Kluyveromyces lactis: one gene and its partners. The protein of the gene in region 1 purifies or fractionates together with the protein of each later gene. This does not show direct contact. Links are inferred from orthologs where the notes say so. Each region holds a gene or a part of one and is shown in the gene's direction. Other genes may lie near its edges. The genes, in order: FYV10, GID7 and VID24.

Evidence for each region.
Region 2: the proteins of FYV10 (region 1) and GID7 purify together in Saccharomyces cerevisiae (affinity purification with mass spectrometry; 3 studies listed by BioGRID). This does not show direct contact. The link is inferred for Kluyveromyces lactis from reciprocal best matches to the Saccharomyces cerevisiae genes FYV10 and GID7.
Region 3: the proteins of FYV10 (region 1) and VID24 purify together in Saccharomyces cerevisiae (affinity purification with mass spectrometry; 4 studies listed by BioGRID, with this or other methods). This does not show direct contact. The link is inferred for Kluyveromyces lactis from reciprocal best matches to the Saccharomyces cerevisiae genes FYV10 and VID24.

What each region holds. Positions count from the first base shown.
Region 1 is NC_006041.1:764,495-767,516, reverse strand, and holds FYV10 (glucose-induced degradation complex subunit FYV10), read left to right. Parts: upstream 1-1,112; coding exon 1,113-2,519; downstream 2,520-3,022. Other genes in the region: AVT7 (Avt7p), read left to right, coding at 1-639; BMT5 (25S rRNA (uracil2634-N3)-methyltransferase), read right to left, coding at 2,544-3,022. UniProt on the Saccharomyces cerevisiae protein: Component of the GID E3 ligase complex recruiting N termini and catalyzing ubiquitination of proteins targeted for degradation.
Region 2 is NC_006039.1:88,444-92,212, forward strand, and holds GID7 (glucose-induced degradation complex subunit GID7), read left to right. Parts: upstream 1-1,534; coding exon 1,535-3,688; downstream 3,689-3,769. Other genes in the region: KLLA0_C01155g (uncharacterized protein), read left to right, coding at 1-1,086; ATG22 (Atg22p), read right to left, coding at 3,681-3,769.
Region 3 is NC_006038.1:833,583-835,966, forward strand, and holds VID24 (glucose-induced degradation complex subunit VID24), read left to right. Parts: upstream 1-831; coding exon 832-1,833; downstream 1,834-2,384. UniProt on the Saccharomyces cerevisiae protein: Substrate-recognition component of the GID E3 ligase complex recruiting N termini and catalyzing ubiquitination of proteins targeted for degradation.

The sequences.
Region 1 (3,022 bases):
GTCATACTAAACTATGATGCTGATAAGCTCTCTGTCAGATTTGCTAGGTTCAATCTTGGCCTGATGGTTGTTTTGTCATTTCCCTTGTTGTTCCATCCTTGCCGTATATCGGCGAACAATATGGTCCATTGGTTACAATTGAACTATGGAACAAAGTCTGAAATAGATGAAACGATAGGGCCTATTACCCTGGAAATTGAGGATGATACTGATAGAGAATACCTCGAACAAGAGCTAGGCTCCTCCCATGACACTTCATTTGTCCACACGTACCAATCACTACCGAGGGCAACCGACGATGATAATGATGATCAGGTTGATGAACGCACTGAAGCAGTCCCATTCCCTGATTCCAGATTTTTGACTGTCACTTTCTTCTTACTTGCTGTACTATACGTTCTAGCGCTAAACGTTGAGTCATTCGCTTTAGTTCTTGCACTTGTTGGTGCAACTGGTTCTACAGCCATTTCATTCACGTTGCCAGGATTATTTGGGTGGAAGTTAATTGGTACTGAATCTTTGATGAACGGTGAGAGAATCGGAGGATGGGATAAAGCTCACAGATATGGAAGTCTGGCATTAGTCTGGTACGGTCTTATTATTATGGTAAGTTGTGTGTATATCACACTTTTTGTATGACCAGTTCAGCATCTCGCAGTTAAATCATTCAATGGTTCCAATCATTCTTTCTTGGCTAGATTATGAGCAAGGAGCTTTCTAAATAAAATTATTAAAATGTAATATATTCTGTCCTCGTCTGTTTGATGCTTTCTGGGTCTTAAACTTTAGGCGCAACACTTAGCCATTGGTATTTATCTTTTCACTAACAGTGTATAAACAAACGTCTGTAATGTTTCGCCTGATATTCCTACCCTCCAGTTGGTACTGCATCAACTCGACTTTAGCAATTTTTTTTTTCCAGCGTACCGGTTGATGTATTTCATTCATGGTAACTATATCTTTGTATTTCTGCATCAAATTGCATAAGAAAATTGAAAGGGGTTTTCACAATATACCTTAATCTTTAGGGATGAACCAAATAACTGACAAACTGGATCAATCAGTGTAATACTGGTGACGGTAAATCTACCAAAAAGCCTTTAGATGTCATTATGACTTCGTTAAACGAACCTAATGTCGATTTTCACCTAAAATTAAACCAGCAGCAGTTTAACATTCCTTCCGAATTGTTAAAGCGAAACTGGGATAAATTCAACAACCTATATACAAGCTATTCAGTAGAGCTACAGGGACAATTCGCTACTTTGAACACTTTACTTGAAGATCCAAATAAGGATGAGCAATCAATAGAAAAATTGAATGATATAATCAACACAGTGAACATTTTGCAGAAGAGACTATCGCAACTACATGATAATGAGTTAACAATTTTAGAAAGGATTGAGAAGAGAGTAGAATACTTCAAGCAGTTTGAAAGATTCAAATATGATTCTAACACTGACAAGCTTCTAAAATGGTACAGGTCATACACGGATTTGTTAATTGCCGATTATTTGGTAAGGCATGGTTCGAATTCTATAGATCATAAAAACAAGATTGCATCAAACTCTGGCATAGAGTTTATAAAGACTAGGGGATTAGAGGATTTGATTGATTACGAAGTTCTCATAGAAGCTAATCAGATATCTATGGAACTTATAGAAAATAAAAACCTTCGTCCTCTATTAGAGTGGATTGAAAATAACTCTGCGCACTTGACAGAAAAAGGTTCGCATTTACAGTTCCAAGCGTTATTGCAGGAGTACATTGAATTAGTACGATGTTCCGATTATAAAGCAGCAATCAGGTGCTTCCAAACACACCTTGCCCATTTCGCAAATATATATCCCAAAGAACTAAAACTGGCAGCGGGTATTCTTGCTTTCTTCAAAAGCTGCCTCAACAATGGTCGTGACGACGAAGTAACAAACGAACAAAAGTTGTTTCATGCCTATTTTAGAAAACAAATGTATCGACCACATCCGTTGTCATCAATTTCTTCTAGTAACGTTGTTCACAATGCTGAATTATGTCGATATGGTCCATTATTGGACCACGAGAGATGGGAAAGTTTGAATAAAATGTTCCTACATGAATTTTACTCACTCTACAAAATATCTTACCACGATCCACTATTAATATATATATCCTTAGGAATCTCTTCGTTAAAAACAAAGGATTGTGGTCACACCATTTCCGCGCAACTAATCCCTCATGAAAATCCGGAAGTAAATGAATACATTAAATCTAACGTTGTCAATACAGATTGTCCCGTATGCAATCATGACATATTCCCTCTATCTGAAAACTTACCATTTGCCCATCATATCCAATCGAGTTTATTTGAAAATCCAGTAATGTTGCCAAATGGCAATATTTACGACTCTGAAAAGCTAATATCATTATCTCGAAAACTAAACAAAATGGGGTACACTAAACTTAAAGAAAACCAAGTGATGGACCCTATTGATAAATCAATATATGCTACAACAGACTTTATCAAAATGTATCCTACTTAGATATAATAGAGAATATGTATTTTCTTATTCATCATCGCTGTCGTCTTTCAAAGGTTTTTTGGAATGTTTACGTTTATTGAACATTTCGAAAACGTACATTCTGGCATCTCTTTCCTCAGCTGGTTTGGTAGTATCCATTTCACTATTGGTACGCTTGTGATGATACCCTGGAAACTTGGACCAGTCGAATTTCCCTGATCTATCCACTTTCCAACCGTTATCTTTCGCTAGTATTTTTATTTGCCATGAATCGTATGGTTCGCCACTAAATAGAGAAAGAACCACTTTTCCATAACCTTCATCATCAACTCGAGTTTCATTATTTAGTGAGTATCCACCCATAGAAATGCTTGAGTTTAACATAATCTGGCTACTGTTTACGAGTCTGAACAGCTGCTTACAACTATCAAAGTATTTGTACACCAATTGTTGATGTTCGTGAATATTTCTGCCTTGATCTTTTATTCCACGACCTGTATGTGGAAAATTGAATAAGATGAAAT
Region 2 (3,769 bases), on another chromosome or scaffold:
TTCCAACATATGGCCCTGATCACGCATCAGTTTTTGACTAAACATCATAAGGATGTAATTCAAGATTACAAATGGAAAATGGGTTTCACTTTTTCATATCCAGTCGATCAAACCTCCTTGAGCAGTGGTAAGTTGATTAGATGGACCAAGGGTTTCAAGATCGGTGATACTGTTGGGCAAGACGTTGTTCAACTGTTCCAACAAGAATTGAACGATATTGGGTTATCAAATGTTCATGTGGTTGCATTGACTAATGACACTACTGGAACCCTATTGGCTCGTTGTTACGCTTCCAGTGATGCGGCAAGAGCCATCAACGAACCAGTAATTGGCTGTATCTTTGGTACTGGTACGAACGGCTGCTACATGGAAAAGCTTGAAAATATTCACAAATTGGATCCAGCTAGCAGAGAAGAACTTCTGTCTCAGGGGAAGACCCATATGTGCATCAATACCGAATGGGGCTCTTTTGATAATGAACTAAATCATTTGCCTACTACAAGTTATGATATTAAGATTGATCAGCAGTTCTCCACCAATCCCGGGTTCCACTTGTTTGAAAAAAGGGTCAGTGGTCTTTATTTGGGTGAAATACTTCGTAACATACTACTAGACCTTGAAAAACAAGAGTTATTCGACTTGAAGGAATCTGTTTTAAAGAACAATCCCTTTATTTTAACCACAGAAACTTTATCACATATCGAAATTGATACCGTTGAGAACGACTTACAGGACACAAGGGATGCTCTTTTAAAGGCTGCTGACTTGGAGACCACCTTCGAAGAACGTGTCTTGATCCAAAAATTGGTAAGAGCTATTTCCAGGAGAGCTGCATTCTTAGCCGCAGTGCCAATTGCTGCAATTTTGATCAAAACCAACGCTTTGAACCAGAGTTATCACTGCCAAGTAGAGGTTGGTTGTGACGGTAGTGTCGTTGAGCACTATCCAGGATTCAGATCTATGATGAGACATGCATTAGCACTTTCTCCAATTGGCCCCGAGGGTGAACGTGATGTCCATCTACGTATCTCCAAGGATGGTTCCGGTGTTGGCGCTGCTTTGTGTGCTTTGCATGCAAATTATTAATTTTAATGACATTTTTTAAACATTTTGATTTGGTTTTAATTCCGCATATAATGCAGTTACGTCTATGAATGACTTTAAAGGATGAAAAACAATAACAATACATTCGCTACAGAGCACCAAACGCACATTTACTTTTATGTAGTTACAGTAGCCAGAAATCTGTTTAATGTATTCAACTCACTCTCTTATAACTTTGTTATGTAAGCTTACTTTATCTATTGGTATCGTACCTTTTTTTTTCCTTTGATTTACAACTGCCCTTCTTCGAGAAATCCCTTAAAAGACAATTTCATAAAATTTAAACCAACCCTCACTGGTTACTTCACGAAAGAATAGTTGAAGATAAAAGAGTTGCTACAATCATTTACAGAACTCATTGACCAAGCAAAGCTTACAGAACAGGTTCTTTAATCACAAATCACTCATAGGTTGGTCGAAATTAAAAATTATGGCTGTTCAAACCGCAGGATCAGACGTTTCACAGAGCAATGCTTCTGTCAGCACTGTCCCTACTAGCCATGACTCGTTCATTCCTAAATATACCAAAAAGCCTTTGTCACATCTAGACATTGACGGATCAGATCAACCTTTCGATCGAGTGCAGTTAACAAAGTTGTTGATTGATGCTTTAAAACAAATCGGATATGAAGAAACTGCAATTACCTTACAAAAGGAGAGCGGTGGGATATTGGTCGAATCAACTCATGTGAAGTCATTGTTTTCTGCTATAAAAGAGGGTAGGTTTTACCACTGTACGTTGGATCTATTGCTTCAGCTACCCATATTTCTCGAGTCCCTTGAACTATCAGGTGACTTATCACATGTCGAATTACCCCAAACAAAACGCAACATTTCAACCACAATAATTGACCACTTTCTCGCTGAATATGAGAAACTAGGTTTCGTGATGAAACGTCTGTCCGAATTCAAGGACGTTGATATAGTTAAGTTAACTATATGCGTGGAAATGCTAGTTGCAATTCAAACTTTGGCTTTCTCTGAGATTTTGATGTCAGATAGACGAATGGCCTTGGAATTATTAAGGCTTGTCATTAGACCTACGATCTCGATTTGGGATACGTTGCTAACACTGCAAACAATGAAATATGACTCAGAAATACAGTGGCAAACAGGAAATGATGTCATGTATTCCAACTCTTTTTCCTCTTTCCAACCTGAACACTTATTATCGCAGCTTTCTACCTTGATTGTATGTGGTCAAAACTCCAATGCTGCACCTTTCGTTACCAGAGAGGCCACATTTGAACACATCGCTCACTTTATTAATCCTAATGATTTAGTTCCTCGTGGTAGATTAATGCAACTATTGAAACAAGCAATTCAATACCAACGTTCAAGAGATTTGTTAAGCTTTCATATTGAGGATTCATCAACTGGTACTAAAAGAAGTGCTTCAAGTACCTATAATTTGTTACAGGATAATGTTACAAAATCAACTCAGTTTCAATTTGATAACATCAAAACATTGAATCGCAACAATGACGAAATCTGGTTCTTACAATTCTCGTCAGATGGGAGATTTTTGGCCAGTGCAAGCCCCTCAAAGAAATTCGAAAGGAAAATCATCATCTATGATGTAAAAAATAACTTCGAAATATATGCTATATGTTGTGAAACTCGTCAGTCTGTTTTATATCTTAAATTTTCCCCTGACAACACGAAATTGATCGCATGTTCAATCAACTCCGCTGCAAAAATATATGACCTAAACCAGCTATCCCCCCCTACATATGATGGCTATTTATGCGAATATGATCAGCTTAAACCTGTAGCATCCGTATTTGTTACATTCCCCACGACTTCAGATTCATCTGCCATTTCATCTAATAATACACCAGCATCAGCTGAAACTATGAGGTTATGGTGTGGAGATTGGTTCCATGATCCCGAATTGAAAGACTTCATCGTATTAGGTTCTCCGGATTCTGATGTAATAATTTATGACATGAAAACGGCTACCATTTTCGCTAGAATTTCGATGACTATGGGAGAAGATTTAAAGTCGTCCTTCCCTCATGTTCATGATATCAAGATTTCATCTGATGATAATGACTTGATTGTGATGAATAATGAGAAGTACATTGATGTGTTTGACATATCAACGTTGAAATACTGCATTAAAGAGAATGCAACGTTCGTTTCTCCCAGAAAGAGACGATTATTGATCGGTAAAAGAATGACTGGAATGCAGTTCCCAGACACTTCTCAATGTTCTCCAGATCCATCACTATCATCATTATTACTAGTCTCGATTCAAAACCAAGAGCTACAACTTTGGGACTATCAAAGAGATATTTTAATACAAAGGTACATCGGTCAAATCCAATCAAATTTCATAATACGTTCATGTTTCGGTTATTATTCAAATTTTATTGCAAGTGGTTCCGAGGATGGAAAGATTTATTTGTGGGATAGGTTCTATGGTAATATCATTGGTGTAATACCTGCCCATTCGGAAAATTCGACAAGTTCACAATCAAAGATATGTAACATTGTTGCATGGAATCCTCAAGATCAAACAATGTTTGCATCCGGCGGTGATGATGGTCTAGTTAAAGTATGGAGGGTATCTGCTACATAGTAGACAATTGTCTAGCTTCTCTTTTTCCTCTTTCCACGTCCAAACCGTGGAAGACTGGTAGTGAAACCACCAAAAAAAGGA
Region 3 (2,384 bases), on another chromosome or scaffold:
AGCCACACTTTTTTGACAGCATACACCGAGCGTAGAGAAAGAAAGAGTTAGCTGCGCTAAGTTGTTACCCGCACCTCGGAACAAACCGGATCGGGCTATGTCTGTGAATGTTCCTTTCCCCTGTAGCAACATTCTCTCGTATTTCTTTTTGTGAACTTTGGTCCTTCTTTGATTCTTCCTCCGCCATTTCGTTGGGTACCTCTCTGTTCCAACTTGGTGCCGGAAAAAAAGAAAATCCAAAACGAAAGGTTTTTCCGGGTATTTTGCCCAGAAACCGGTGCACAGTCTCTTCGATATTTCCCCCCGTTTCTTTTCCTTCAACACCAGACTCGCACCTCGATCATAATTCACTCCTGAACACATTTACTCTCTTTTTACTTTTTTCCATTATGTGTCACTCCTTTCACCTATGCAGCCATTTTACTTCTGTCTCTGCCTTGTTCATTGGTTTTTCCCAGTCCAGTTGATAGGATAGAGTCATGGTTGGAACTGGAAATCTTCCTCTTCCGCGTGTTTCATTGTCGGTTTCTTTGCCGTGTTTTATTTCTTTTCCTTTTATCTCTTTTTCTTATTTCTTTATCGATGTCGATCTGGTCTTCGCTTTTTAAAGGTGGCCTGGTGATGCTTTTTATATTACCTTCTTGATTGAGATAGTTATTATTATTATTATTACTATATATATGTATATATACCGAGTGGTTATTGTTGGACGTATTAATCTGTTCGCTGCTTCATCGCAGATTGCCTTTGTCAAGTGAGTTAGTTACTTGCTTTAGAAAACTAGTTACAACTTACAAGTTGTAAGGCAAGATACATTCATACATTTTACAGATGATCAACGAAGATACACGTTCGCATAGCTCTGGGTTGGAGACGCAACTCGCCAAGGCGAGTAGCTCGTCTCCATATAAGGGTCAGGGTCAGACCCAGGAACAACAGCAACAGCAACAGCAACAGCAAAAACAGCAATCACCTATAGCATTCCCTGCGCCTTTGACTCCTTTTTTCCATAGAAACCCATATTTCAGGAACACTTCGCTGCACAGAACTGGGTCTCACGATTCTATCAATTCGATACGGCGTTCGCATGAAAACTTTCAAGATTCGGAGGATTACGATATCCAGGACTCATGCTCACCATCTTTGAACTCGCCTCCTAGATCGAGACCTCAGACTCCCAAGAACCACGAAAGAACTCATTGGCTAGGGGCTAGAAAACGGTTTGTTGGGTACCAACTCTCGGGATACAAGAAGTTCCAAGTCATGATCACTATCCAATCTGTTTCTTTACCAAATGATAACGAATCCAACTGTTGCTCGCCTCATTTGACTGGATTCCTCTCTATAAAGGGTCTCACGGTACAAAATCCCGAGATCACCACTTTCTTCGAATCCATCACCGTAACGGATTCTCTAGGGTTTCTATCCAAAGATATCCCAATAGATTATGCGTCCTATAAGGCCTCGGACCAGACTGATTTGGAGCATTGGTTGAATTTCCCATCTTTCAAAGAACTTTGCATGCAAAACGATCCAAAGTATCCTTCTAAGAATATTCTACAATCTATCATCGATGGTACTTACTCACATACCGATTACTTGAATCAAAGGTTCCTTTACATGAGGTGGAATGAGAAATTCCTGGTGCCTGATGCCGATTTGGAATCAATAGATGGTGCATCTTACGACGGCTACTACTACATAGTACACGATCAATTACTTGGTAACATTCTGGGGTTCTACTACCATGAACATGCTGAAAGATTTCAACAGTTAGAATTGCAACCTTTACAAGAACCATCAATCGGAGATTGTTCATTCGAATTTGCATAATTAAATGACATTAAAATAAATAAAACCACATCTTTCATGGGGTGTTTTATTTTCATTCTTTTTTTCTGTCTCTTCTAATTTACCAAGTTCCTTGCTCCACTCATTTACTTCAAATTTCAGTTCAAGTTTACTTCTACACCACATTACATTAATTCAGTTAATATTCTAATACCAATTTACGCTTTCACTTTTCATTTCTACCTAATCACGTCTCTAATGTCATATAAATAATGGGATATACATCGTTACAATTTACTGCTCGATTTGTTTCTCCTAGAAACCGAACGTCATGAAAAAAAAAAAAGAGGCCCTCGATGAGGATGAAGAAGGGGCAAAAAAATAACAGCTCGCACTCAGGATCGAACTAAGGACCAACAGATTTGCAATCTGCTGCGCTACCACTGCGCCATACGAGCTGGTTTCTTGCACAAATGTTTTACTTTCAGTTCATATCGGGATTTGTGAACCATTGCAAAGAACCATGTCACGTGCTGCTTACTCATCACAGTCTTTATTCACCTTAAACTTGGCCTCCAAACATTCTGAATATC